Linked DNA regions of Stegostoma tigrinum. The protein of the gene in region 1 purifies or fractionates together with the protein of each later gene. This does not show direct contact. Links are inferred from orthologs where the notes say so. Each region holds a gene or a part of one and is shown on either strand. Other genes may lie near its edges.

The links.
Region 2: the proteins of splicing factor U2AF 65 kDa subunit-like (region 1) and prpf19 purify together in Homo sapiens (affinity purification with western blotting; 3 studies listed by BioGRID, with this or other methods). This does not show direct contact. The link is inferred for Stegostoma tigrinum from reciprocal best matches to the Homo sapiens genes U2AF2 and PRPF19.
Region 3: the proteins of splicing factor U2AF 65 kDa subunit-like (region 1) and sf3a2 purify together in Homo sapiens (affinity purification with mass spectrometry; 3 studies listed by BioGRID and IntAct, with this or other methods). This does not show direct contact. The link is inferred for Stegostoma tigrinum from reciprocal best matches to the Homo sapiens genes U2AF2 and SF3A2.
Region 4: the proteins of splicing factor U2AF 65 kDa subunit-like (region 1) and cpsf6 fractionate together in Homo sapiens (co-fractionation; 3 studies listed by BioGRID, with this or other methods). This does not show direct contact. The link is inferred for Stegostoma tigrinum from reciprocal best matches to the Homo sapiens genes U2AF2 and CPSF6.

Annotation. Positions count from the first base shown.
Region 1 is NC_081375.1:48,722,323-48,729,960, forward strand, and holds the start of splicing factor U2AF 65 kDa subunit-like, read left to right. Parts: upstream 1-4,631; 5' UTR 4,632-4,860; coding exon 4,861-4,909; intron 4,910-4,924; exon of another isoform or gene 4,925-5,089; intron 5,090-7,638. UniProt on the Homo sapiens protein: Plays a role in pre-mRNA splicing and 3'-end processing. By recruiting PRPF19 and the PRP19C/Prp19 complex/NTC/Nineteen complex to the RNA polymerase II C-terminal domain (CTD), and thereby pre-mRNA, may couple transcription to splicing.
Region 2 is NC_081399.1:7,396,491-7,404,435, reverse strand, and holds the start of prpf19 (pre-mRNA-processing factor 19), read left to right. Parts: upstream 1-4,935; 5' UTR 4,936-4,988; coding exon 4,989-5,007; intron 5,008-7,945. UniProt on the Homo sapiens protein: Ubiquitin-protein ligase which is a core component of several complexes mainly involved pre-mRNA splicing and DNA repair. Required for pre-mRNA splicing as component of the spliceosome.
Region 3 is NC_081383.1:19,450,588-19,457,877, forward strand, and holds the start of sf3a2 (splicing factor 3A subunit 2), read left to right. Parts: upstream 1-4,283; 5' UTR 4,284-4,336; exon of another isoform or gene 4,337-4,397; intron 4,398-4,477; exon of another isoform or gene 4,478-4,647; intron 4,648-6,071; exon of another isoform or gene 6,072-6,203; intron 6,204-7,290. Other genes in the region: plekhj1 (pleckstrin homology domain-containing family J member 1), read right to left, coding at 3,699-3,792. UniProt on the Homo sapiens protein: Component of the 17S U2 SnRNP complex of the spliceosome, a large ribonucleoprotein complex that removes introns from transcribed pre-mRNAs.
Region 4 is NC_081371.1:45,801,803-45,808,678, reverse strand, and holds the start of cpsf6 (cleavage and polyadenylation specificity factor subunit 6), read left to right. Parts: upstream 1-3,859; 5' UTR 3,860-3,914; coding exon 3,915-3,974; intron 3,975-6,876. UniProt on the Homo sapiens protein: Component of the cleavage factor Im (CFIm) complex that functions as an activator of the pre-mRNA 3'-end cleavage and polyadenylation processing required for the maturation of pre-mRNA into functional mRNAs.

The DNA.
Region 1 (7,638 bases):
ACAAAAAACATAAATTACTGGAAAAACTCAGCAGTTCAGGCAGCATTTGTGGCGAGAGAGTATAGTTAACATTTCAGGTCCAATGAAGCTTCATCAGAACCAATGGTAGCGAGGAAAATGTTGATATTGATGCAGAAGATGGAGTGGGGGTGAGGGTGGCAAAGTAAATGATATGTGGAGATAGAACACAAAGAAAGAGAGAAACAGTTGGACAGACAAAGGAGTGGGGAGTGTCAGACTGGGCAAATAAATAGCTGCTAATACAGGCTATTAGTAGCTGACAATGGGTTGTGTATGGCAGCAGCCCATGTGATATCAAAGGCTGGTGTTGTAGGGATTGAGGTAAGGACAAGGAGAAGGTGCCTCAAGCCCTAAAGTTGTTGAACTCGATATCAAGTCCAGGGGGCTGCAGAGTTCACAAGTAGAAAATGAAATGCTGTTCTTCCAGCTTGCACTGAGCTTCGCTGGAGCATTTTCCACTCTATTTCCCCGCCTAGCTTTGAATCTTCGGGAAATTTGCATATATTATACTCAGTCTCTTTATCTAAGCCATTAATATGGACTACAAATAGTCACTAATCCTGTCAGTGTGCATAAGAATGTTAATATAGAGGTCATCCCTACTAAGTCTTACACTGAAAAATAACCCAGTTGTCTATAATATTTAGCCTCTCATTGAAGTACCTGAGTTAGAAGCTGAGTCATTTTTTTCCTGTGATCAGAGATAATGGGAACTGCAGATGCTGGAGAATCCAAGATAACAAAGTGTGGAGCTGGATGAACACAGCAGGCCAAGCAACACCTTAGGAGCACAAAAGCTGACGTTTCGGGCCTAGATCCTTCACCAGAAAATTTTCCTTGGGTCTAGGCCTGAAACGTCAGCTTTTGTGCTCCTAAGGTGTTGCTTGGCCTGCTGTGTTCATCCAGCTCCACACTTTGTAATCATTTTTTTCCTGTGTTATTGTTCTTGTGATGGGGCTGCCATTGACAAAGCCAGCATTTATTGCTCAGCCCTAAGAGTCAATTATATTGCTATGGATGTGGACTCATATGTAGGCCACCCCTCGGCACATTTCCTTCCCTGAATGAGCCAGATGGGATGTTTTTAATGACAATTCACAGCAGTCACATGATTACTATTAGGCCAGATTTTTATTCTTTATTTTCTTTTCTGTTAAATTCCAGTTTCACCATCTGCTGTGGTAGGATTTGAATAGATGGCCCTAGAATGGCCCATGGAATTGCTTTCTAGTTCAGTGACATTACCACTACACAATCATCTCCCTATGATTCTGTAGCCCTGGAGTGTCAGAAACAACAAACTTTACATTCTTTTAGTGTTTTAAACAACTTTCTGCAATTGCCCTGCAAGGATATTTTATTGTCCACTTGCTTGTCAATCAGAAAGTTCCTGATGTGTCATATTTGCTCTACCATGTACCACAACCTAGATGCAACTTCTGTTTATTTTACAACAGGGTAGAACAATGCTGAGGTTTTATGAACTGAAGAAGGAAACCCTCCAAAGAGTATGAACAGCAAATTTACAGCAAAGCAGGACTTCTGTCTGAAGACCTTATGCTAAATCATAGGGTTGACAGTCCATGCACAACAGAGAATCTGAAACAGCCATCAGGAGGGTGGAGGTGAGCTGAAGATCTACCACAACAAATAAAGGTTTCATGAAAACTCTTAAAAAATACAATATTTGCAAGAAAATGTTTATCTCACCTATACACTAATATTTGCAATGTTTGAAGCGCTGATAAATATATTTTCCATCAAAGGCCCGTGCCTTCCTGCAAAGCCTGAGGTTCAAATTTTCCCTAAAAACTGAAAGAACTACAAATGCTGTAAATCAGAAACTAAAACAGAAGTAAGACCATAAGACATAGGAACAAAAATTAGGCCATTCGGCTCATCGAGTCTGCTCCACCATTCAATCATGGCTGATAAGTTCCTCAATACAATTCTCCTGCTTTCTCCCCATAGCCCTTGATAATCAAGAACCTATCTATCTCAGTCTCATATGTACTCAATGCCCTGGCGTCCACAGCCTGGAAAAACTCAGCAGGTCTGGCAGCATCTGTGAAGAGGAATCAAGAGTTAATGTTTCGGGTCAGGATTGATAAGGGCAGAGCAGTGGATATGACCTAAATGGGCTTCAGTAAGGCATTCAATAAGGTCTCTCATGGCAGACTGATTAGCAAGGTTAGATCACATGGAATATAGGGAGAACTAGCCATTTGAATTTAGAACTAGCTTGATCAGTGCTGGGTCCACTGCTTTTTGCATTGAGATAAATGATTTGAGTGTGAACAGAGGAGGTATGGTTAGTAAGTTTGCAGCTGACACCAAAATAGCAGGTGTAGTGGACAGTGAAGAAGGTTACCTCAGAATACAATGGGCCCTTCGTCAGAAGGGACATTGGGCTGAGGAGTGGCAGAGTGAGTTTAGTCTAGATAAATGTGAAGTGCTGCATTTTGGTAAGGCAAATCAGGGCAGGGCTTAATGGTAAGGTCCTGGAGAATGTTGCTAATTGAAGAGACTGTGGAGTGGGAGGTTCATAGTTTCTTGAAGGTGGAGTTACAAGAAGATAGGATAGTGAAGGCAGTGTTTGGTACACTTGCCTTTATTAATCAGTTCATTGAGTATAGGAATTGGGAGGTCATGTTGGGACTATACAGGACATTTGTTCGGCCACTTTTGGAATACTGCATTCAATTCTGGTCTCCCTACTGCAGGAAGGATGTTGTAAAACCTGAAAGGGTTCAGAAAAGATTTATAAGGATCTTGCCAGGATTGGAGCTATAGATAGAGCCTGAATAGGCTGGGGCTATATTTCCTGGAGTGTCGGAGGCTGTGGATGACCTTATGGAGGTTCATAAAATCATGTGGGGCATCGAAAGGGAAAATAGTCAAGGTCTTTCCCCCGGGGTGGCAGTGTCCAAAACTAGACGGTATGAGAGGGGAAAAAATTTAACAGAGACCTAAGTTGCAATGTTTTCACACACAGACTGGTGCATGGACGGAATGAGCTACCAGAGGAAGTGGAAGAGGCTGGTACTATTACAACATTTAAAAGGCAATTGGATGGGTATGTGAAAAGGAAGGGTTTAGAGGGATATGGGCCAAATTCTGGCAAGAGGGACCAGATTAACTTAGGATATCCGGTTGGCATGCATGAGTTGGACCAAAGGGTCTGTTTGCATGCTCTTTCAGCCCTATGACTCTATGGTTTATAGCACTTGTTAAATAAGAGTGCTAACGTCTGCATTAGCATAGCTTAAAATAATCTGTTGAGTTTGTAAAATAGCTGATTTGTGCTGTGAATAAATGATATGCATTCACATGCAGGAACCCATACATTACAAAATAAGCAACAGCTTCAAATTTTATGTAATTTTGGAGAGCCCATGTAGCTCTTCATCACTTTCTCCAAGACAGTGCCTCAAGCAATCAAAGTCAACTCGCAAAAACATCAACTTTTGCTCCTAAGATGCTGCATGGCCTGCTGTGTTCATCCAGCTCCACACTTTGTTATCGCCAATTATTTAGCATCTTCTTCTCTTGTATAATTGTTTGGTTATTTGAAATTTGGCATTATTTTTGTGCTGATTTACAAGATGAAAAGCTTAAGCAAACTCTTTTTTCATCAATTTTCCGTCTTGCCCACTGGAACAAAAACTGATTGTTCTTATCCAGATTTAGATGGGCTCTACTGTTTAATTTGCCCTGAATACATGAGAACTGGCTCTTGACTTTGCGTGGTGATACAAAATGACTCCATCATTTTTTTTGTACTATATTCAGAAACGTATAAAAGTAGACAACTTTAAAAAGAAACACAAAATATCAGGATAATTAGCAATATAACAGTAAGCTCCCCATGTATCTTAATTTGGTACTTTTAAAGTGTCTCATGTTGTCCTTCTTCAAAAACTGGTCAAACAGGAGAATAAAAATTAAATTTTTCGACAATAGATCTGGTTGCTTTCTACTCAGAACTCAGTCACAACAGGAGACTGCCAGAAGAACAGAGGGAAACACTTTAGGGAGGTGCTCTAAGCATCTATAAAGAGAGGGAGTCTCTGCAGCAACTCATGGCATGATCAAAGGGGGAAATTTATTTTAGAAGGCATCAAACAGATTGAAGGACTTCAATGGGAGCACAACCTCTATTCTAGGTGCCTGTCCTTCAAGTCCAATTTGCCCTTCATGTGGCAGAGTCTTGAAATGGTCCATTGGATTCATCAGCCATCTCAGAACTCACTCAACCAAAACAGAATAAACAAGCCATCTCTGAGCCCGTAGGTATTGGCTAGCAAACGAAGAAATGGAAACAAAAATGTAAACGTAACTGAAAACACTTTACACCTTACTGGGTGAAAGTTAGGGAATGTTTATTTTGAATGTGTCTGTTACTGTCATTGTGTCACTTTGAGGAAGAGCGGCAGTGAAATGCGTTAAGTTCCCACACGGCGTTTGACTCTCTGCGCGCACCGTCCCTCCGCGACCCAACGTGGCCTCCGCGGTCCTGCCCCAACGATTCGCCCATGGGGGGATACTCTCGGCAACGATTGGTGAATTGAGCTGTCAGTCGGAGGCCGGTCCCGGCGTTGGGGGAGGGGAGGAGGAGAGCGCCATCCGGAAGCCGCGGGTGAAGCGGCCATTGTGCGGAGGGAGCAGAGTCTGAACCCGAGTCGGCGGGGGGGAGAGCTGCGGCACCGTTTTTAACGGTGATCGAGGGACGGCGCGGGACTCACGATTGATAAACCACCTTTTGTTTTCTTTTTAAAAAAAACAAGTTTCACCCACTTTCTTTTTGAAAAAAAATCGTAAAGGTTCACACAGACACAAATGTCAGACTTTGACGAATTCGAGAAACAGTTGCACGAGAACCGACAAGGTGAGCAGGGCCTACCGGACCAGGCTTTTTCTGGGTTTTTTTATATAAAGGATTCCAGGGCCTCCCCGTCATCCCACCCCGTCGGCCCTGCTGCGGCCTCGAGTCAAAATCGTCCGTGTTTCCAGGAGTTAATTTAAAACTGGTTTCTCAATGAATACCGAATGAGCGGCGGGTGGGTGCATTGCGCAAGCTCAGTGTCAACTTAGCCAACCCTGGTGACAGGAAGAAGGCCATTCCGTCCCTCTGTATTCTGCACCCCCCGTAGTCCGATTCCACATTCAGCCCATGTGGAGACTTGGGCATTCCCTCTCTCTCAGCTCCTCTGCACACTGCCTCTTCTCCTCATTCAGCCCCTCCAACCACTGCGCTCTATGTTCTGACCCGTACCCCCTTTGCCCCCACCCATTCATTAGCAACATAAAAGGGAATCCAGAAGTCTGCTGTAGGGATATAAACGGCAAAATGGTAAGAGAAGGAACAGTCGTGCCTTTTCGGAACCAAAGGGAGATCTGCACAGGGAAAACAGTTCACCTTGGTACAAAACGTGTATTTGTGTCTGTTTTCACTAAAACCTTGCACGTTTGGGTGCCTGAGATAACAAAGGTGTAGAGCTGGATGAACACAGCAGGCCAAGCAGCATCAGAGGAGCAGGAAGGCATATGTTTCGGGCCAAACCTTGTATGTTTGGCTGCCTGCAGTTTTAGGGGAGTACTGAAGTAATGACAGATGTGGATTTGTCTATATGTTTTTACTTTAAAATATTTTTAATCTTTTGCCTTTTCAATTTCATTGAAGGGTTTGATTCAGTATTTAAATGTATTAAATTGAATTATGTTTCTTTTGGTCAAATGTCTAATTGACAAACAAGTCTAATCAATAGTTAATCTATTCCAGAGAGATGCTGATCTATGAATGTCCAACATACAAATGTTTGTACTTATGAAAGCAATCTCATACTGGGATATAATTTAAAATATCCAACATAAGTACAAGAAATTTTGATACGCATACTTGCTTTATAATTGTCCTGCATTGTGTTCCACCTTGTGTACAAATTAAACTCAGGAACCGAACCCGTCCGCAACCTGGGATCTGCCTGTATGTTCTTTTATAATTGTGTGAAGACCAAAATTTTCTGAATGTATTTGTCTGTGAATTTTTCAGCATTTGCTGTTTTGAGATTTTTTTAAACAATCAATATATTAGTATTTAGTAGAGCCGCTGTTCCTTAACTGCGTTTCATACAACTGGTTAGAACTTGCTGTTGCCTCCTGCTGTTTGAATAGCTGAAAATTGCAAACAGGTGCTAAAATCCAGTAAGAGGCTGCAGTTGAATCCTTTGAATCATTCAGTTTTTACCAACTTGAGCATTTTATGAATTATGTACATACTCTGTAGAGCAGTCCAAGATGAAGTTGCAAGAAATTGCTAACCCTTACAAAAATTATATTTTGGATTTTTCTCCAAGCTTCACTCAGTCCTTCCTATATTAAGCAGAAATTTGAATTTTACTTGATTATACCTATTAGCCAACTTGGATTTCAGTTACAGTATACGACATTACAGATTATATGATTTAGTCTCCTCTGAATTGAAAAACTCTTATTTCTTATACATATATTGAAACTCAACATTGTTGCATACCCTTAAGAATGTGGTTTTGATCAGATTTTTAAGTAGGTAGGGAATTGGAATTATTGGGTAAATTTGTCTCTCAGATTTAGTACCCCTGGAAACATGGGTGCTTTCCTGTCTTTTGAATATTTATGAAAGAGTTATGAGGGATTTACAATTAGGTGACTTTTTACTTTTAGCATGAATCTGTGAACTAGCTATTTTAAGTACAAGTTTTATTTGTCACTCATTCTGTTCAGATATAGTTTCGGATTTTTTTTAAAAGCATACATTTCTCAAAAATATTCAGTGGTGGGATTTGAACAGTTAGGGTAGCATTTATTGCCCATGGTCATGAGCTGCTTTCTTGGACTGCTATGGTCTACATCAGGTAGATGCACTCAGAAGTGAATTCCAGGACTTAACCCAGCAGAAATGAAAGAAAAGCATTGTACGTCTAAGTCAGGATAGTGAGAGACTCGCAAGGAAATTTACTGATTAAAGTCATCCCAGGCATCTGCTTCCTTTGTATTTGTAAGTGTTAGAATTTGAGAATGTGGAAGGTGCTGTCAAGGAAAACTTGGTGAATAATTGCAGTGCGTCTTGTAGACGGAACCTGCTGCAGCCGCTGTGCAGTGGTGGAAGGATTGAAGTGGCCTGTTCTGTCCTGAACAGTGTTGGGCTTCTTGTTTTGGAACTGTGTGTGTGCCGGCAATGAAAGGTATTCCATCACACACCTGGCTTACATTGCAATCAGGCTTCGGAGACTGTGAATGTGAATTACTCACTGAAATTCTCAGCCTTTGACCTGCTGTTGTAGCCACAATGTTTACTGGCTGGTCCATGTTTTAGTTTCTGGCTAGTGATGAACCCTAGGATGTTGATAGTGGGGGTTCAGCAATAGTAATGCCATTGAATGCCAAGGGGGCACGATGAGTAGATTCTCTGTTGGAGATGGCCATATTTGTAGATATTCTTTCACTGATATTGAGCTAACATAGGAGAAACCCAACAGGCAATCCAAAGAAATATGAGGAGTACATAACAGTATTTTATGTCTAACTTCAGGCGCATTCCTGCTATGAATAATTGAGAATTAATTATTAAGGCATATG
Region 2 (7,945 bases), on another chromosome or scaffold:
GATCGGCCCCCACGACCAGTACAACTGGACTCCAGAATGGTATGATCGGCCCTACGACCAGTGCAACTGGACTCCAGAATGGTATGATCAGCCCCACGACCAGTACAACTGGACTCCAGAATGGTATGATCGGCCCCCCCACGACCAGTACAACTTGGACTCCAGAATGGTATGATCGGCCCCCACGACCAGTACAACTGGACTCCAGAATGGTATGATCGGCCCCACGACCAGTACAACTGGACTCCAGAATGGTATGATCGGCCCCACGACCAGTACAACTGGACTCCAGAATTGTATGATCGGCCCCCACGACCAGTGCAACTTGGATTCCAGAATGGTATGATCGGCCCCCACGACCAGTACAACTGGACTCCAGAATGGTATGATCGGCCCCACGACCAGTACAACTGGACTCCAGAATGGTATGATCGGCCCCACGACCAGTACAACTGGACTCCAGAATGGTATGATCGGCCCCCACGACCAGTACAACTGGACTCCAGAATGGTATGATCGGCCCCCCACGACCAGTACAACTGGACTCCAGAATGGTACGATCAGCCCCACGACCAGTACAACTGGACTCCAGAATGGTATGATCGGCCCCCACGACCAGTACAACTGGACTCCAGAATGGTATGATCGGCCCCACGACCAGTACAACTGGACTCCAGAATGGTATGATCGGCCCCCACGACCAGTACAACTGGACTCCAGAATGGTATGATCGGCCCCCCACGATCAGTACAACTGGACTCCAGAATGGTATGATCGGCCCCCACGACCAGTGCAACTGGACTCCAGAATGGTATGATCGGCCCCCCACGACCAGTACAACTGGACTCCAGAATGGTATGATCGGCCCCCCACGACCAGTACAACTGGGCTCCAGAATGGCATGATCGGCTCCCACGACCAGTGCAACTGGACTCCAGAATGGTATGATCGGCCCCCCACGACCAGTACAACTGGACTCCAGAATAGTATGATCAGCCCCACGACCAGTACAACTGGACTCCAGAATGGTACGATCAGCCCCACGACCAGTACAACTGGACTCCAGAATGGTATGATCGGCCCCCACGACCAGTGCAACTGGACTCCAGAATGGTATGATCAGCCCCACGACCAGTACAACTGGACTCCAGAATGGTATGATCGGCCCCCACGACCAGTACAACTGGACTCCAGAATGGTATGATCGGCCCCCCACGACCAGTGCAACTGGACTCCTGAATGGTATGATCGGCCCCACGACCAGTACAACTGGACTCCAGAATGGTATGATCGGCCCCCCACGACCAGTACAACTGGACTCCAGAATGGTATGATCGGCCCCACGACCAGTACAACTGGACTCCAGAATGGTATGATCGGCCCCCCACGACCAGTACAACTTGGACTCCAGAATGGTATGATCGGCCCCCACGACCAGTACAACTGGACTCCAGAATGGTATGATCGGCCCCACGACCAGTACAACTGGACTCCAGAATGGTATGATCGGCCCCACGACCAGTACAACTTGGACTCCAGAATGGTATGATCGGCCCCCACGACCAGTACAACTGGACTCCAGAATGGTATGATCGGCCCCACGACCAGTACAACTGGGCTCCAGAATGGTATGATCGGCCCCACGACCAGTACAACTGGACTCCAGAATGGTATGATCGGCCCCACGACCAGTACAACTGGGCTCCAGAATGGCATGATCAGCCCCACCACCAGTACAACTGGACTCCAGAATGGTATGATCGGCCCCCACGACCAGTACAACTGGACTCCAGAATGGTATGATCGGCCCCACGACCAGTACAACTGGACTCCAGAATGGTATGATCGGCACCGTGACCAGTATTACTGGTGTTCCAGCCAGTATTATAGCATGGTGGTGCTCAGATACCCTTGATCTCGGTGTCCATGTACACAGATCCTTGAAAGTTGCCACCCAGGTTGACAGGGCTGTTAAGAAGGCATACAGTGTTTTAGCTTTTATTAATAGAGGGATCGAGTTCCGGAACCAACAGGTTATGGTGAAGCTGTACAAAACTCTGGTGCGGCCGCACTTGGAGTATTGTGTATAGTTCTGGTCACCGCATTATAAGAAGGATGTGGAAGCTTTGGAAAGGGTGCAGAGGAGATTTACTAGGATGTTGCCTGGTATGGAGGGAAGGTCTTACGAGGAAAGGCTGAGGGACTTGAGGCTGTTTTCATTAGAGAGAAGAAGGTTGAGAGGTGACTTAATTGAAACATATAAAATAATCAGAGGGTTAGACAGGGTGGATAGGGAGAGCCTTTTTCCTAGGATGGTGACGGCGAGCACGAGGGGGCATAGCTTTAAATTGAGGGGTGAAAGATATAGGACAGGTGTCAGAGGTAGTTTCTTTACTCAGACAGTAGTAAGGGAATGGAACGCTTTGCCTGCAACGGTAGTAGATTCGCCAACTTTAGGTACATTTAAGTCGTCATTGGACAAGCATATGGACGTACATGGAATAGTGTAGGTTAGATGGGCTTCAGATCGGTATGACAGGTCGGCACAACATTGAGGGCCGAAGGGCCTGTACTGCGCTGTAATGTTATACATTCTGTGAATAGTGGTAGTTCCCTATGGGTTTGTAAACAGACTCTGTGCCCAACAGTCACTGCCTGGCATTGGTGAGCTGGCGAATCGAACTCACACTGTTGCATCTCTCCCCGCTCTCAACACGGGGTTGTGGGGGTGGGGGGGTGCGTGGACAGCGTACCTTGCACCCTCACGTCATGTTCGTCAAAGCTTTGCTGGATGATGCGCAAAGTGTGCAGGGGACCCTGAAATTCTGCCATGGGGTCATCGCAGATAAGTCGGGCCAGTGGGCGAGGTTGCAATCGGGAAGTTTCGCTTGGAATAACAGAGAAATGCTCCATCGTTTAAGCAGTGAAGGATTGCAGGGTGTGCTGTGCAGAGGGATCTGGGTGTCCTTGTGCGCGAGTCACAACAAGGAAGCTGGTTTGCAGGTGCAGTGGGTACTTAAGGTGGTAAATGGGGATGCTGTCCATCAGTGCGATAGAGGGATGGCGTTTAAAAGCAGGGAGGTTTATGTTGCAGCTGATCAGGCCACTCCTGGAGGACTGCATCCAGTTTTGGTCTCCTCCCTTGAGAAAGGATGTACTGGCACTGCAGGGGTTTGCAGAGGGGGCTCACCCGGTTGATCCCGGAGTTGGGAGGGTCGGATGACGAGGAGAGACCCCGGGGTCGGGAGGGTCGGATGACGAGGAGAGACCCCGGGGTCGGGAGGGTCGGATGACGAGGAGAGACCCCGGGGTCGGGAGGGTCGGTGACGAGGAGAGACCCCGGGGTCGGGAGGGTCGGTGACGAGGAGAGACCCCGGGGTCGGGAGGGTCGGTGACGAGGAGAGACCCCGGGGTCGGGAGGGTCGGATGACGAGGAGAGACCCCGGGGTCAGGAGGGTCGGATGACGAGGAGAGACCGTGGGGTTGGGAGGGCCGGATGATGGGGAGAGACCCCGGGGTCGGGAGGGTCGGATGACGAGGAGAGACCCCGGGGTCGGGAGGGTCGGATGACGAGGAGAGACCCCGGGGTCGGGAGGGTCGGATGATGGGGAGAGACCCCGGGGTCGGGAGGGTCGGATGATGAGGACAGACCCCGGGGTCGGGAGGGTCGGTGACGAGGAGAGACCGTGGGATTGGGAGGGCCGGATGACGGGGAGAGACCCCGGGGTCGGGAGGGTCGGTGACGAGGAGAGACCCCGGGGTCGGGAGGGTCGGTGACGAGGAGAGACCCCGGGGTCGGGAGGGTCGGTGACGAGGAGAGACCGTGGGGTTGGGAGGGCCGGATGACGAGGAGAGACCGTGGGGTTGGGAGGGCCGGATGACGGGGAGAGACCCCGGGGTCGGGAGGGTCGGAAGACGAGGAGAGGTTGAGCTGTCTGGGTCTATACTCAGCGGAGTTGGGAAGAATGAGGGTAAAACGATGAAGGGAATGGGTAAGGAGGGAGCAGGAGGCTGCTCCCACTGGAAGCTGAGACGAGGAGCCGGGGGGCAGAGTTGAGGAGGACCATCTTCTCCCAATGGGTCAGGAAACCCGTGGGATCCCCTGCACAGTTGAGGGGACCATGTTGAAAGCTTCGATAAGGCAAAGGCAGATGTTTGACCAGTAAAGGGAGTTAGGGTCATGGTGAGGGGTGCGGGTAAGCTGGGCTTTACCCACAGGAAGAGGTTGGCCATGATCTTATGTAATGGTACAGCAGTATTGAGGGGCCGAATGACCTGCTCCTGTGAACTGCCTGTTAGGTCACCACCCCACCGCTAGGGGTCACGCTCTCCCTCCCCCCCCGCCCCAAACCATTCCCACGCAGCCGCAGCTAGGTGATGACGTTCTCTGCAGTCCACCGCACTTTTGTCACCGAGCGTTGAGACGTTTCCTATTGTCCCCGCCCCTTTCCCCCCACTTTTGATGACGTCACTTCCGCACCCCCCCCCCACTCCGCCCAATCCTTGCGGGATGGCTCCTACAGTCTCCGCCCCTTTTCACCCAGCGTGATGACGTTACTACATTCTTCACCCCGGCCTCCCGCCACGGGCGAGATGACGTTCGCTGCATTCTCCACCCCAAAACCCAAGCGTGATGACGCCGGCTCGGCCTGCTGTGTTCATCCAGCCCCACACCTTGTTATCTCGGATTCTCCAGCATCCGCAGTTCCCACTATCTCTCACATTCCCCGTTCCCCAAACGTGATGACGTTCTCCAGTCTCCTCCCCTGCAACTCAACACCGATGACGTCTCCTACCTCCCTCCCGACCCATCATGCGCGTGACGACGTCCCTTCTTCCCCGCCCACCCCACGCGCGTGATGATGTCCCTGTTTCCCCGCCCACCCCACGCGGCGTAATGACGCCACGCTCTGGCCACGCCCCTCCAATGACGTGACCTCTCCTCCCGCCATTTCCCAGTTGCCCCGGGAGCCGCCGCCGCCGCCATCATGTCGCTGCTGTGTTGGAGTAAGTGGGAGCGGGGGCCGGGGGCAGGAAGATACCCCCCTCCCCCGGGAGCGGGGCAGAGAGAGAGAGAGGCCGGGGTGTGGGGGGAGACCGGGAACTCAAGGAGCGGAGTGGGCCTTGCGCCTCATGGACAGTGGGAGCACAGGGCCCGGGCCTGAACTGGGGCCTGGGCCTGAGCCTGAACTTGAACTGGGGCCTGGGCCTGAACTGGGACCTGGGCCTGGGCCTGAACTGGGGCATGGGCCTGGGCCTGAACTGGGGCCTGGGTCTGAACTGGGGCCTGGGCCTGGGCCTTAAATGGGGCCTGGGCCTGGGTCTGAACTGGGGCCTGGGCCTGAACTGGGACCTGGGCCTGGGCCTGAATTGGGGCATGGGCCTGGGCCTGAACTGGGGCCTGGGTCTGGGTCTGAACTGGGGCCTGGGCCTGGGTCTGAACTGGGGCCTGGGCCTGGGACTGAACCTTAGCCTGGGTCTGAGCCTGATCCTGGGCCTGGTGTTGGGAGTTAACAAGGTGTGGGGCTGGATGAACACATCTGAACCTGGGTGTGATGCTGCTTGTCCTGCTGTGTTCATCCAGCCCCACACCTTGTTATCTCACATTCTCCAGCATCTGCAGCTCCTGTTACCCCTCTGCTCCTCTGATGCTGCTTGTCCTGCTGTGTTCATCCAGCCCCACACCTTGTTATCTCACATTCTCCAGCATCTGCAGCTCCTGTTACCCCTCTGCCCCTCTGATGCTGCTTGTCCTGCTGTGTTCATCCAGCCCCACACTGCGTTATCTCACATTCTCCAGCATCTGCAGTTCCTGTTACCCCTCTGCCCCTCTGACGCTGCTTGTCCTGCTGTGTTCATCCAGCCTCACACCTTGTTTTCTCAGATTCTCCAGCATCTGCAGCTCCTGTTACCCCCTTGCTCCTCTGATGCTGCTTGTCCTGTTGTGTTCATCCAGCCCCACACCTTGTTATCTCACATTCTCCAGCATCTGCAGCTCCTGTTACCCCTCTGCTCCTCTGATGCTGCTTGTCCTGCTGTGTTCATCCAGCCCCACACCTTGTTATCTCACATTCTCCAGCATCTGCAGCTCCTGTTACCCCTCTGCTCCTCTGATGCTGCTTGTCCTGCTGTGTTCATCCAGCCCCACACCTTGTTATCTCACATTCTCCAGCATCTGCAGCTCCTGTTACCCCTCTGCCCCTCTGATGCTGCTTGTCCTGCTGTGTTCATCCAGCCCCACACTGCGTTATCTCACATTCTCCAGCATCTGCAGTTCCTGTTACCCCTCTGCCCCTCTGACGCTGCTTGTCCTGCTGTGTTCATCCAGCCTCACACCTTGTTTTCTCAGATTCTCCAGCATCTGCAGCTCCTGTTACCCCCTTGCTCCTCTGATGCTGCTTGTCCTGTTGTGTTCATCCAGCCCCACACCATGTTATCTCACATTCTCCAGCATCTGCAGTTCATGTTACCCCTCTGCCCCTCTGATGCTGCTTGTCCTGCTGTGTTCATCCAGCCCCACACCATGTTATCTCACATTCTCCAGCATCTGCAGCTCCTGTTACCCCTCTGCTCCTCTGATGCTGCTTGTCCTGCTGTGTTCATCCAGCCCCACACCTTGTTATCTCACATTCTCCAGCATCTGCAGCTCCTGTTACCCCTCTGCTCCTCTGATGCTGCTGGGCCTGCTGTGTTCATCCAGCCCCACACCTTGTTATCTCACATTCTCCAGCATCTGCAGCTCCTGTTACCCCTCTGCTGCTCTGATGCTGCTGGGCCTGCTGTGTTCATCCAGCCCCACACCATGTTATCTCACATTCTCCAGCATCTGCAGCTCCTGTTACCCCTCTGCTGCTCTGATGCTGCTTGTCCTGCTGTGTTCATCCAGCCCCACACCTTGTTATCTCACATTCTCCAGCATCTGCAGCTCCTGTTACCCCTCTGCTCCTCTGATGCTGCTTGTCCTGCTGTGTTCATCCAGCCCCACACCATGTTATCTCACATTCTCCAGCATCTGCAGCTCCTGTTACCCCTCTGCTGCTCTGATGCTGCTTGGCCTGCTGTGTTCATCCAGCCCCACACCTTGTTATCTCACATTCTCCAGCATCTGCAGTTCCTGTTACCCCTCTGCCCCTCTGATGCTGCTTGTCCTGCTGTGTTCATCCAGCCCCACACCATGTTATCTCACATTCTCCAGCATCTGCAGCTCCTGTTACCCCTCTGCCCCTCTGATGCTGCTTGTCCTGCTGTGTTCATCCAGCTCCACACCTTGTTATCTCACATTCTCCAGCATCTGCAGCTCCTGTTACCCCTCTGCTCCTCTGATGCTGCTTGTCCTGCTGTGTTCATCCTGCCCCACACCTTGTTATCTCACATTCTCCAGCATCTGCAGCTCCTGTTACCCCTCTGCTCCTCTGATGCTGCTTGTCCTGCTGTGTTCATCCAGCTCCACACCATGTTATCTCACATTCTCCAGCATCTGCAGCTCCTGTTACCCCTCTGCTCCTCTGATGCTGCTTGTCCTGCTGTGTTCATCCAGCCCCACACCTTGTTATCTCACATTCTCCAGCATCTGCAGCTCCTGTTACCCCTCTGCTCCTCTGATGCTGCTTGTCCTGCTGTGTTCATCCAGCTCCACACCATGTTATCTCACATTCTCCAGCATCTGCAGCTCCTGTTACCCCTCTGCTCCTCTGATGCTGCTTGGCCTGATGTGTTCATCCAGCTCCACACCTTGTTATCTCACATTCTCCAGCATCTGCAGTTCCTGTTACCCCTCTGCTCCTCTGATGCTGCTTGGCCTGATGTGTTCATCCAGCTCCACACCTTGTTATCTCACATTCTCCAGCATCTGCAGCTCCTGTTACCCCACTGCTCCTCTGATGCTGCTTGTCCTGCTGTGTCCATCCAGCCCCACACCTTGTTATCTCACATTCTCCAGCATCTG
Region 3 (7,290 bases), on another chromosome or scaffold:
TTTCCTATTCATGTACCCATCCAGATGCCTCTTAAGTGTTGTAAATGTACCCACCTTCACAACTTCCACTAGCAGCTCATTCCATACACATACCACCCTGTGAGAAAAAGTTACCCATCAGATCACTTTTAATGCTTTCCCTGCTCACCTTAAACCTATACCTTTTGTTTAGGACTTCCATACCTTTGGAAAACAGACCTTGCTTATTCACCTCATCGATGCCCCTCATGGTTTTATAAACCTACAGCCCCTGACACTCCAGGGATGAAAAAGTACCAGCCTTTGAAGCGTCTCCTTATAATTCAAATCCCCCAGTCCTGGCAGTAGATTGGTTAGTGAGGTTAAATCACATGCTATCCAAATGAATACAAAATTGGCTTGATGGTAGAAGACAGATGGTGGTGTTGGTGCATTGCTAGCCTTTAATTTTCTTTGAATATATTTTTATTTTGATCCTTTGTGGTCCCTGTCCAACAGAAATTGGCGGAGACAGAGTCAAGGGACAGCCATTTTTTGTTCGTTTCTTTATTTATTTACCCCCCCACTCCAAAGTAATAGGGTCTTTGTTTTCACAATACAGTCAAGGAAACTTTATTTCCTGTTTCAAAACAGTAAGCAGGCTTTGCTCAGTGTTTCACCTGGTGCTATCCCAGTCTGAGGGAATATCTGATGGGGGGGGGGGTGGCACGGGAGAAGGGGTCTTGGTATTTTCTGGTTACACCTTTCGTTTAAAAGTAGAGGGATGTTATTTGGACTGGAGGCTTGCGACCAGCAGTGTGGTGCAAGGATGGGTTCACTGTTGTTCATCATTTATGTCAACAATTTGGATGAGAATATAGGAGATATAGTAAGTTAGTTTGCGGATGACACCAAAATTGTTGACACAGCAGACTGTGAAAGAGGTAATCTATGAGTACAATGAAATCTTGACTAAATAAGGCCAATGGGCCAAGTAGTGACAGGTGGAGTTTAATTTGGATTGATGTGAGGTGCTGCATTTTGGTAAAGTAAACAAGGGCAGGACTTACACAGCTGGTATGTCCTGGAGAGTGTTGCTGAGCAGAGGAATCTAGGGGTGCAGGTTCACAGTTTCTTGAAAGTGGCATTGCAGGTAGCTAGGTTGGTGAAGGCAGCATTTGGCATACTTGCCTTCATTGGCTAGAAGATTGAGTATAGGAGTTGTGACAAATATTGCATTATACAAGACAATGGCAAGGCCAATTCTGGCCATCCTGCTATAAGGAGGATGTTACTGATCTAGAAAGGGCACAGAAAAAAATTGCAAGGATGTTACAAAATGCAAAATATACTAGCGATTTGATCTGGATATTGCTGTAATGCAAGGCAGCCAGAAGGCATGTTATCTAATGATTAAACACCCACAAGCAGGAAATGATGATAAACAGGCCAAAGCAATAAACTAGAGCAATCAGTCCTAACACAACTGCTTTTAAATGTTAGTTATATATAGAATTTAGAAAGAGAATGACTTGTTAATGTTTCGGACTGCTTTTCATTCAAACTTGTGCTTCAGTTTAAACTCTCCCACAAAGCAAATATTGCAGACGCTGAAGTGAACAAATTGCAGGAGCTATTCAGTGGAGCAAGTAACATCTGTGGAGAAAAAAGCTAATATTTGAGGGATGCAATCTTTAAAGGAAAAAAAACTTTAAATATAACAGACATTAGAGGTTTTAATCAAGTAGAATTAGGCCAACCAAGATGGGTGATGGCAGGTGGGATTAAGTTTTCTTCTCTCATTCACTTGCCTTGCCTCTTGGATGATGGGGCTGAATATAGGGCAGACTCATTAGCAATTATCATTGTCAAATGTAAGATGGGTAAGTTGCCAAAAGCAGGTAAAGGGTCTAGAAACAGGTATTTGACAGAGGGCAAAAATCTGGCAGATTGAATTTAATGTGAATTTGTCTACTTTGGAAGGAAAAACGGAAATGTACCCACTATTTAAAACAGTGCAGGCAGAGATTGCCAAACTGTGTCTGTGTGACCTGTGATGCAAATCAAAACAAAAATCAGTTTGCAGCTCTGGCAAGTGATTAGGGAGACAAATAGAATGGCAATTATTACAAGGGGAATGGAATACATAAGCAGGAACATTTTATTGCTGCAGGGCTTTGGTGAAACCATATCTCAAATACATGTACACTTTTTTTCAAAAAAGTGTACAAGGTTCAATTGGCTCATTTCTGATATGAAGGGCTCATCTTACAAAGAAACGACTGAGCTGGGTGGGCTAGTTCCTTCCAAGAACTTAGTAGAATGAGGGGATCTTATTGAAATATACAAGGCCATGAGTGAATTTGATACAGTGGATAGTTTTGGATAGGAAAATGGAATGGAGACCACAATCAGATCACGTATGATTTAATGGGAAAGGCAAAAGGAAAGGCCAAATGGCCTACTTCTGTTCCCAAATCCACATTCCCATGCTCCTTCACTTACTAAAGCTTGTTACAGCTGATATTTTCCACACCTGAAACATTAACTCTGTATCGCTCTCTAGAGATGCTCTCAACATACTAACTATAGTCAGCATTTTTAGCTTTGTAAATACAGATGTCAGACCTCTTAGACCTCTCTCTAGTCAACATTTTTGAATGAATTGGATGGTTATCAATCTCCAAACTGAATTTGAAATCATTTCAACACATCACAAAAATCATGCTCATATGAACAAATGTCTCCATTCCTATACAGGATCATTGGCCATTTAAACCCTCATTCATGCTAGTCACCTCCAGACCACTCAACATGAACTCAGCATACTCAAAAGACTTATTTATTGCACAACAAACCCAGTTCGACCATCACCTCTATCCACAAGACTCACATTAACATCCAGATTTTAACAATTTTATGTTACTCTCCTTATCGGCAAATACATTTACAGTCTAATCACCATTACTCCCACATCTGCAGGCCACCTTGTGTTTGTCTTTCCAGCCCAATGAGCAGCTGCCCTTTAACTCCATTTATTGATGATCTTGTTTTCTGGCTATGAGACTTCACACTCAAATCTCTCCCTCTCCCCCCAACCCACTCTTTTTCTGCTACAGACCCCACACTAAAATAGAAGCTTTCTTTTTTTAAAAAAGAAACATTCATAACATTTTTTTGGTTCATGTGGTTTCCCTGTCCCCAGGGTAGGGGTTATTGTTACAGTAAAAACTTATAAAATGCAATCATAATAGGTTGGCATTTACTTTACACTCTCTGCTGTCCCCTCCATCGACAGCTAACATTGACATATAATAGAGCTAAACAATTTGCGGTGCATAACCACTGTTTTCTGATTGTAGTGCTTGCAGCGAATTTAAGAAATGGAACAGGCAACTGGGTTTAAGTAGAAGTGATAACTGCTAATTTAGATACTCGAAGGAAAGGTGGGCAGAGTCAACTCTTGCACGTTGCACTCAATGTCACCAGCGGGTTACAAAATTATGAGGTAGGTATTGGTTCCAATGTAACACCCCAGGACTGTTTTCATCCTCCCTGCTGAGCAAGTGAAATCCCTTTCAACCCATCCGACCCCAATTCTGAGGAAGGGTCACCGGGCCCGAAACCTTAACTGTTTCTCCCCAACCCACCCCACCCCACCCCACAAATGTTGCCAGACCTGCTGAGCTTTTCCAGCAAGTTCTATTTTTGTTTCTCGAGCAGCTTAGATTGCTCCTTACCGTCGTTGCGCTTTGGGCCCTTCATGGTGAGCTCGGCTGCCTTCTCGGCCGGTTGTTTGGAGAGACACAGCAGCTCCTTCTCATTGTATCTCATGGTAGCTGGCAGAAAGGCCCCTTCCCCCTCGATATCACCCCTTCCCTCACCGAGGGGAGGGGGGGGGGGTGGATGTTAATGAGCAGTTCCTTGCCTTCAGACACAGCCACCACCCTGGACAAAGCTGCCCCACCTGGTGAGCGTTATCTCTGGAAGCGAAGGCCGAGCGGGAGGTGCGTGCCGTTGGTACAAAATCGCGATAAAGTCTGCGGCATATCTAAAAGTCAATAAACACGGGCACGCCCAATCTAGCGACAAATCATGACTTCGAGCTGCGGCGGAGGCTGGCACTACGCGGCACACCGAGCGGCAGACGGAACAAAAACCGCACCTCACCCCAACGCTCGACCTCCCTCAGAATCCACCGCGTCTTCTTGTCAATAAAGTTATTGAAAAGCCCCACTTCCGGTGGTCCACGACCTTCTTCCGGTTTTTGGCGCATCGCGCCAGTGTTCTTTGTTAATAAAGTTACTGATAACAGTAAGTTCCGGTGCGCCGCGACTTTCTTCCGGTCGGTTTTGGTGGCTGTTGGAGGCGTGTTCAGGTAGTCGCGGGGCTGATGGTTCGAGGCCGCTAGTTTATTGGTCCCTGGTAGCCGGAGCTTGGTGGGTCAGGCACAATATACCTTCGTCATGATGAATGTTCTTTCCCTCACTTCCCCCCCCCCCGGACCGGTTGTTAACCCGGCCATTTTCTGAGCTGGCCAAGGAACCTGAGGCCTGTGTTTCCAGGCTGTTTAATGCAACGTTTTCCTTTGTGTCTGCTTGTTTGTTCAATGGTAAAGCTGGAGCGATTGGGGTCAACTTTGTTCGGAGTGAGCTGAATAAGCAAAGTGCTTGGTCTGACTGAAACCAGGTTGAGAGTTTGTTTCCCCTTGACTTTTGGGTGGTGGTGTGAGGAGAAAGGTGGTTCGGCATAGAGGACCGAGTACCTAACACTGAGATGAGGAGAAGTTTTTACAACAACGCACTTAATGGGTTAGAGATAGTGGGAACTGCAGATGCTGGAGAATCCGAGAATCTTTTTCTGATGAAGGGTCTAGGCCCGAAACATCAGCTTTTGTGCTCCTAAGATGCTGCTTGGCCTGCTGTGTTCATCCAGCTTCACACTTTGTTATCACTTAATGGGTTAGATTTTGAATCTTTAGAATTCTGTCTTGGAGTACTGCCTACAGTTTTGTTTTCCTATCCTGAGCAGGGGATAAATATTTTTTGATCAACTTGTTCAGAAATATTATGATGTACCTCTAGAGCATCAGAGGGACTTTAACCCAGGCCTTCTGGTTCAGATGTAGGGTGTTTACCAGTATGTCACTCGACCCTTCTGAAAAGGGGATGTACTTGCCATAGAAGGAGCACAATGGCAGTTCATCAAATTAATCCCTCCGACAGCATGTTTGTTATACCAGGGATTGAGGAGATTGGGTATATATTTCTTAGAGCTTTGAAGATTTGGAGTTGAACTCATTGAAACTTACAGGACATGATAGGGTGAATATAGATAAGCTGTTTTCTCTGGATGTTAAACGAAAAATGAGGGGCCATAATCTCAGGATAAAGGATGAGGTATTTGGACTAAACTAACAGGTGCTGTGTTATTAGGTATATTCAAGGTTAAGATTGATGGATTGTTGGTGTCTCACAAATTCCTGATATAGGATTTATGAAGTTAAGGCAGAAAGTCAATGACATTTGTATTATGTGGTGGCCCAAGCTTAATGAACTGGGTGGTCTATTCCTTTTCCATACATTTAGTTTAAGAGTAGTGGAAAATGTTTGTACTGCATATGTACATGAATGATGTAAGGAGGAATGTTTTTGTTAATATATATGCTTCCAAACACTTGTGTGGTGAGGGAATCTTCTTTATTTCTGACGACAGATTTTTGCTTCAGCTTTAACTACATTTCACAAGATTGATCACTGGTTGCATCTGTTCTATTCTGTAGTTTTTCCCAATGGCTTGAGTTGAAACATTCAGCACATCATCACAAATATTTATCTTTTTGTTCCTATGCCATGTGTGTTCCCAGAATGTTAATCTTCTACCAGTTTTTTAAAATATATATTGCCTGACCACAATTTCAGCTGTTAGTACCGTTACATTCTACCCAAGTATGCAGATAATGCCAACATTTGTGTCCTTGCTGTTTCCTTGATTTGATGCTGCCCCTGTTTGGATGAGTGTGAATGGGTTAGAAACTTCTCTGGAATGATCTTAGCTGATGTTCTGACCCTTTGCGAAAAACTGAGTCTATCTCTCTTCAATTGCTCACCAAGGATCCACCATAAACAAGCTTGGTTTGCTGTTTGGAACAACTGACTTTGGCCTCGTTCCTAGTATCACTTGGGATCAGCTCATCTCCAAGTCTGAATATAGTAAATTTAACCTGCCCTCCAGTAGCTGAGCATGTAAGTGCTCAATATTTAAGTGAATTTTGAGACAACTCTGCATCTTTGAAGATGTTATGCTTTTTGGATGAAGTATTAAACCAGGATGTGTTCAACAACAGCAACTTAGCATTTACATTGGGAACAGGAACAGACCATGTAACTAGTCAAGCCTGCATCACCATTCGTTTACTTCAACACCACTTCCCTGCACTATATTAGTACTGTTTGATATCATTAATTTCTGACTTGAATATCTCAAATTTTTTTTTAGTTTCCGAAGCCCCTGGGTAGAGAATTCCAATATTCATTACCCTCTGAGTGACAAGATTCATGCACGTCTTGATTTGAACTTAGCTTACCCTTCCTTAGTTTATGTCCCCTGGAATTATACTTACCAGCCAGATGAAACAGCTTCCCTGCCTTCTCGCATCCTGTAAGCATTATGTAAGTTTTAGTGAGTTCATCCCTCATTTTGTCTTGAAACTTTAGAGAATGCAGATCCATCATCTTCAATCCATCATAGAAAAATTACACTACCCCAGGGATTAATCTAGTGAACCTCCATTCCCCTCCTGTTCTGGCATGCATATCCCTTTGTTAGATATGGGAATCAAACTGCACACTGTACTCCAGGTGAGGTCATGCAAAGGCTTTATTCAACTGCAGCAAGATATTTTTATTCCTGTTTTCAAGTCCCCTTATGATGGAGAGCCAGCATACCATATGCCTTCCTAGTTATTTGTTGAACCTGAATGCTAACTTGTAGGATCTTTGGACATCCTCAGTTTCCAACCTCTCACCATTTAGGAAAAAGTCTGCTTTTCTGTTTTTGTTTCTCAATTAAAGCAAATAACTGCACATTGACTCACATTATTTTCCACCTGCATATTCTAGCCAATTCACTAAGTTTGTCTAAATTCTTCTTGAAGCCTTTCTTAGTCTGTTTCACAATGTACCCACCCAAATTGGTGTCATCAGCAAATTTTGAAATATGACAGTTGGTGCCTAAGCTGAAATTATTGGACTGAAAATAGCTTATGAACACAAGTCAATATAGTTTTGTGCATTATTTAACAGCCTGCTTTCCTGAGCATGGTCTGTTAAT
Region 4 (6,876 bases), on another chromosome or scaffold:
AAAGGACTGTACTGTACTACAAAGATGCAGGCATCATGTTGCAATTGGTTAGATCCCACTTGGAGAACTGAGGAGATCTGAGCACTATATCGTAGGAAGGATATTTTGGTCTTGGAGACAGTACAATGTAGGTTTACAAGAATAATACCTGGACTTCAGATGTTAGGTTATGAGGTGAGATTATAGAAATTAGGCCAGTTTTCTCCATATTTTAGAGGGTTAAGAGGTTACCTTATTGAAGTCTTCAAGATATTAACAGGAAAAGACAGGCAGATAAAGATAAACTATTTCCGCTGGTTGGGGATTGTAGAACTGGGGACATTGTCTGAGAATTAGGGCCAGACCATTCAGGAGCGATGCTAGGAAGCACTTCTACACAAAAAGGGTGACAGATGTTTGGAATTCTCTTCCACAAATGGCAGCGAATGCTGGATCACTTGTTATTTCTGAGAGAGACAATCTTTTGTTAAATACAAGTGTTAGGTGATATGGGTCAAAGGCAGGTTTCTGGAGTTGGGCAACAGATCAACCATGATGTCACTGAATATGGAACAGGCTGAAGGAGCTCAAGGAGCAGAATGGCCTGCTCCTATTCTTATGTTCCTTTGTGTATTTCAGTGAATAGCCACTATAGTAACCATCTGCATAAATTAAACATTGAGATATCAAGCTGGAACATAATTTACTGGCCTCCATTTGCACACAGCTGACCTAGATTGTCTTGGAGATCAGACAGGCCAGACAATAAACGGAGGGATAAAACACAAGAACAGATTTCTGCCCCTGCCTCCCTGTCCCTTCACACGATGTTCACAGAAGCTGCTCAGACTGCGAAAATGTGAGAAGGGTGTTTCACAGGGTACAATGCTAGGACCTCTGCTGTTCACCATTTACTCTGAAATTTATTGCTGGCTGCTGCCAATATGTCACCCTTCAGTTCTGTGGCACTGCAAACCTGTGTTTCTGCACAAGTGTGACCACTTGACAATTGATGCAGCCATGAGAAATCACTTCCCTGAGAGATTATTAAGAAAACAGAGATCAATATCTGAAGAATTAATTGAGTTAAATGGCAGCATCAAATAGTGTGATGTGACAAATGGCCTGCTTTGTGCTGTAATCATTCTATGACAGATACATTTAATGTAGGCTGGCTAAGCACATCGAGAAGAAAGGAACAGTAGATATGTTGATAGGGTGAATGACGAGTGACCAGGAGGAGGTTCATAGTTTCATCAAGATTTTACAGCATGGAAAGAGATCCTGTGTCCCATCGTGTCCATACCAATCATCAAGCATCTCTCGATTCTGATCCCATTTTCCAGCACTTGGCTCACAGCCTTGTATGCTATTGGATATCAAGTGCTCATCTAAGTATTTCTCGAATGTCTAAGATTTCTGCTCGCACAACATTTGATGCAGAGAGTTTTAGCTACCCAACACCCCCTTGGTTGAAAGGATCTACAAGTCCTCTATAAATCTCCTACTTCTTCCTTCAATACTGTGCCCTCAGGTTATTGAGTCCTCTAGTAAAAGGTTCTCCCCATCTCCCCTTACTAACCCCTTATAATGTTGTACATCTCAACTCTGGACCCTCCTCATTCTTCTCTGCTCTAAGGAAAACAATGCCAGCCTATCTAGTCTCCTATCCTCCCTGAATTATCAGGTAATATTTTGCTGAATTGCCTTTGCACTCTGTCCAATGCAAGTACATCCTTCCTGCAGTGACCAGAACTGCATACAGTAGTTACATACAGCTCCATCATAACCTCTAAAGTAAAACAAAGAACTGCAGATGCTGGAGATTTCAAACAAAAACAGAAATTATTGGAGAAACTCAGCAGGTCTGGCAGCATCCATGGGGAGAAAGCACAGCCAATGTTTCGAGTCTGATGACTGTGCAGAACTGTTTGTATCTAGGAAATGTGTTACTCATGCTGAAGGCAAAGTGGAAGGGGCTGGGGGAGTGGGAAAGTGGGTGTGGTGAGTTGATGGGTGGAGATTGAGCCCAGAGAGAGAGGGATGTGAACAGGTTCGGTAAACAAGAACAGCAGGTCAGGGCAGAAGAAAACCTGCACACTTGATAATAAAGAGCTACGTTTATGTGTAAATGGTTGATTGCGCTAAAAGCAACCAGTGCATTAGCAGACTGGGTTTGGAAATGGGTAAGAAACATGGAAGGGTGGAATCAGACTCTTAAAGTTAATGAACTCGATATTGAGGGTATTGATGCTGCAGTATTCCCAAGTGGAAACTACTCCTTGTTCTTCACAGCCTTCAGCATGTCAGCAATGATGAGCATATTGCCAAAACCATCGCCAAGCCTCCACATCTCACCTTCAAACAACTGCCAAACGTTGAACAGACCATTGCTTGTTGCAAACTACCCAGACTTCAGGATATCGACCACAACACCATACAACCCTGCCACGGCAACCTCTGCAAGACATATTGGATCATTGTCATGGATACTACCATCACATATGGGAAGACCGGCCACCATGTATTCTGCAAAAATTCATGTGACCCACCCAGTGTTTTCTATCTCATATGCTGCAGGCAAGAATGCCCCGAGGCATCATATATTGGCAAGACCACATAGACGAATGTCACCAAATATGACAACAAATGAATGGACACTGCACAACAATTGCCAGACAAGAATGTTCCCTCCCAGTTGGGAAAAACTTCAGCGGTCAAGGACATTAAGCCTCCAATTTTCAAGTAAGTGGCCTTCAAGATACACAACAATGCAGAACTGCCGAGCAAAAACTGATACCCAAGTTCTGTATCCATGTAGATGGCCTCAACTGTGATCTGGTGTTGATGTCACGCTACATGTGATCCCATCACACTGTTATGTATCTGTAAAATCTTCTTTACTGTCCTGTTTTGACGTGATCATCTTGATAAATTTTTATGATCTCTCGACCTTAATTAGTTTGTACAGTTTGGATTACTACTACTTTGGTTAGACCCTCAGCATGCGGCTCTCATGTGCTCCTAAAATGCTGCTTGGCCTGATGTGTTCATCCAGCTCCGCACTTTGTTATCTCAGATTCTCCAGCATCTGCAGTTCCCATCATCTCTGATACAATGTTATTACAGTCATTTGGTTTGTCTCCACCGCTGCCTTATTTTTGTTTTTTTGTAATTATCTCTCTACCTCATTTAATCAAATCGTAGGTCATTCCTTCACGTGTTATTTGGCTGTTGACACTTTACTCTCATTATCCGACACTCTTGGTCACCTGCAGAGGACCTAATACTCTGCCTGCCAACACTCCAGTCACACCACTTGTGCAACCTTTTGCTCTCTCTGCCTATAAATGATGTGCCTGTGTGCTCACTTCACCTGGCGAAGGAGCAGCGATTAAAAAGTTTGTGATTCTAAATAAACCTGGTGGATTATAATCCAGTGCCACCTGATCTTTTGAAGAAGGGTCACTGGACCCGAAATGCTAACACTGCGGATGCTATCAGACCTGTTGACTTTTCCCAGCTATTTCTGTTTTTGTTTCTGATTTCCAGCATCTGCAGTTTCGTTTTGAGAAGGTCCTTCTGGTCCTCTATACTTGCTTAGGTCTTGTCACTCAACACAGTGTTTGCCCTGAATTAGTTTATGCTCTTAAATTAGAAAGTTAGGTGAGAACTGCAGATGTAATTTGGTATTTTAAGGATGCAGGTGTTGGAAGGGGCGGGTGAGTGGTGGTTGCAACCTGAGACTGGAATGGAAATATTTCGTTTCCCCCCGAATGAAGAGATCTTGCTCTGTTTTTTGGGGGGGTGTGAGGTGTAATTGCGATGGCGGCCTGCTGGGGAGGATGAGGGCGCTGTATCCGGAAGTGATGCAGTGACTCTTCAAACGGCCGCTCGAGGCGCAAAGAGGGAGAGAGAGTGCGAGAGTCGGTGAAATGGCCGACGGTGTGGATCACATTGATATCTACGCGGATGTTGGCGAAGAGTTTAATCAGGTAACGATCGGTACCGGTGGTGCTTTGGAGCGAGGCCGCCGCTTGCCATTTGTCGCCCGGCTCACCGCCGACCCGCTCCCACACACAGTCGCGGAGATGGGCGGGCGGCAGCGGCGAAGTCGGCCTCGGTTCACTGAGCGCAGAGGGAGGAAGAGAAGGGCGTGCAGAGGGAACACCGATTCCCAGGACCCCTTCACCATCTCTCTTCCCCCCCCCCCCCCCCCCCCAGCCCGGTACTGGGCTGCGTATCGTCATTCGGAAACGCAGGTCCGGACCCGCTTCTCTGAAAGCGAAGGTGGAAGAGTGAAAAACTAGGCCGCTAGCTCTCCTTTCTTCCCCCTCCCCCGTTTTATTTTTCCCCCCCTCCCCAAAGCTTTTCGTCCGGCCGAGGGGTCTACCCCCCGGTGGCGCAATATTATTTTAAAACCGCGTTGAGTTGTATTTTCTCCTCGGCAGCCGTCTTTATTGCCGGTGGGTACCGCGCTGCGGAGCGAGGCGCTGCTTTTTGGAAGAACAAAACATGACAACATGGCGCCCGAGAGCGGGAGGCGGGCGAGTAAACAGCGGCTACTTACTGCGTATTCTTTACCCAGCATATTCCTGGAGTCCGTCTCCCAACAGATCTACTTAAAATCCTCCCTACGGCTTCATCTGGAAGATTAAGCGTTTAGGATGGGAAGATTTCCAATTATTAGGCAAGAAATGGCTCTTAAATGGAGTTGAGTGGGTGCTGAATGATCTGGAATGTTATTTTCCTTGCACCCTTTTGGCTGTAGTCGACCGTCAATCTGTTTTCAGCATCGAGTCTAACAAATTATGATCCACACATAGAAGTGATCGGAATGCAGTTTCAATTAATGCTAGTCTACAACGGATTAATACGCAAAATTTTATTAAAATTGAGCATCTCTACAATTGAATTCGCAGATTGTAATTCCTCATCTCACCCCCTCCCCCATGTCCTGGTTACATAGGCAGTCATTGATCAGTCGTCACGTTTGTTCCTGAGGCTGCTGTACATGTTTATTTACATATTTTAGTTAAAGTAATTTAATGTTCTGAAAAAAGTAATGTATCACGTAATTTTTGGTGTCCTGAAGTTATGCCAAATATATTCCAAGTAGAATCCGAGAAACTCAATGTATCCAACCCATCGTGTCTGAACTGGCTCCCTGAAGAGCTACCCAGTCCCATTCTCGAAGAAGCGTCTTCGGAGCACAAAAGCTGACGTCTTGGGCCTGAAGGGTCTCGGCCCGAAACGTCAGCTTTTGTGCTCCTAAGATGCTACTTGGCCTGCTGTGTTCATCCAGTTCTACACTTTATCTTGGATTCTCTGTCACCTGCAGTTCCCATCATGCGAGTCCCATTCTCCAGCCCTGTTTCTGTAATCACTTTCAAATATATATCCAACTTAAAACTTCTGATAAAATCTACCTCCACCGTTCTTGCGGGCAGTGCATTTCAAATCCTAGCATGTCTTGGACTACAGAGGTTTCCCCTTATCTCCCTTCTAGTTCTCTTGCTCATAGTCTTCAAATTGTGATCAGCTTAGTTACTGATATACCAGCTAATGTAAACAGAATATCCCCCTTTACCCTGTCAAAACTGATAATTTTGAATGCCATTATAAGATCACTTGTTAAACCTCTGCTCCAAGGAAAATAATCCCAACCCCCCTCTTTTTCCTTGTATCTAAAATTCCTTACTACAGTGTTGTTTTAATATCTCCTTTTGCACTTTCTCCAAGGCTTCAACATGCTTAAATAAGGTGCCTCGAACTGAACACAATACTCCAGTTGTGAGCTGACCAATGATCAGTAGAGGGTAGCATTGGTTCCTGGCTTTTATACTTTATGACATTATTTGTCAAACCAAGGATCCTTTAAGCATTCCCAAGAATTGTTTCAAATTGCCCGGTCACCTTCAGAATTATGTACCTTAATTCCAAAAATCCAAGTTGCTCGCTAACTCTCAATCTAGGGTGCATCACATCTGGATCAGGTGACTTTGCGTGGAGTCCTGCCAGCCTTTTTTTGCACCTCCTCTTTATCTATCACTCTGCTCAGTTGCTTAACACCCACATTTTCAACTGTGCCATTTCTAATTGATAAAACCAAAAGCACAGTACTCACTTAGTACCTGTGCCATACACTTTGCTTCAGTGAGCAGCTCACCCTGCTTATTCCTCATGGGCCCCACTCTATCCTTCAGTCATCTTCTAACATTAATATGTTTGAAGAACATTTTTACTGTTTATCTGAGCACAGACAGCCATCCTTTCCTCATGCTTCATCTTAAACTTCGTTCTACCAGCTTTAATCTCTATGCATTTGAGATTTGCCGTCCTAATTTCTAATGTTATTCCAATATGGTTCATGTGCTGTCTTTTTCTTCCTTATGTTCTCAATGATATTTTTAGTCAACTAAGAGTAAAGGTCTAGTCTGGGATTTTAATCATCAACTGATTTTTTTTTTCTTTACACTTTTTCCAAAATAATATTGAACCTTATGATAATTATTTCCCAAGTGCTCTCCCACTTTGAATTTCTGCACTTGACCTACCTCATTTTGCAGGACAAGATCCAGCACAGCACTCTCCCTGGTATGATTGGAAATAATTGTCCACAGCCTGTGATTATCCTATTGTAAATTTTTCTCCATTTATTTAGAAATTGCTCTTACTGACAATTTTATAGTTCCAAAAACTACATTAAATAAGTTTTTCCATGACTTATCTGCCGCCTTTTATTAAAACCAAGTTCCATGGCATGTCATTTCAAAATGCAGTTTTAGTGCAAATTTGGTTATTGAAGTACCCAAGAGAATGATAAGAGGAAATTTATCTTATCTACTGGGTGAAGAGTTAAAAATGGGTGGGAGTTAGCAGAGGTATTGTGGGGTG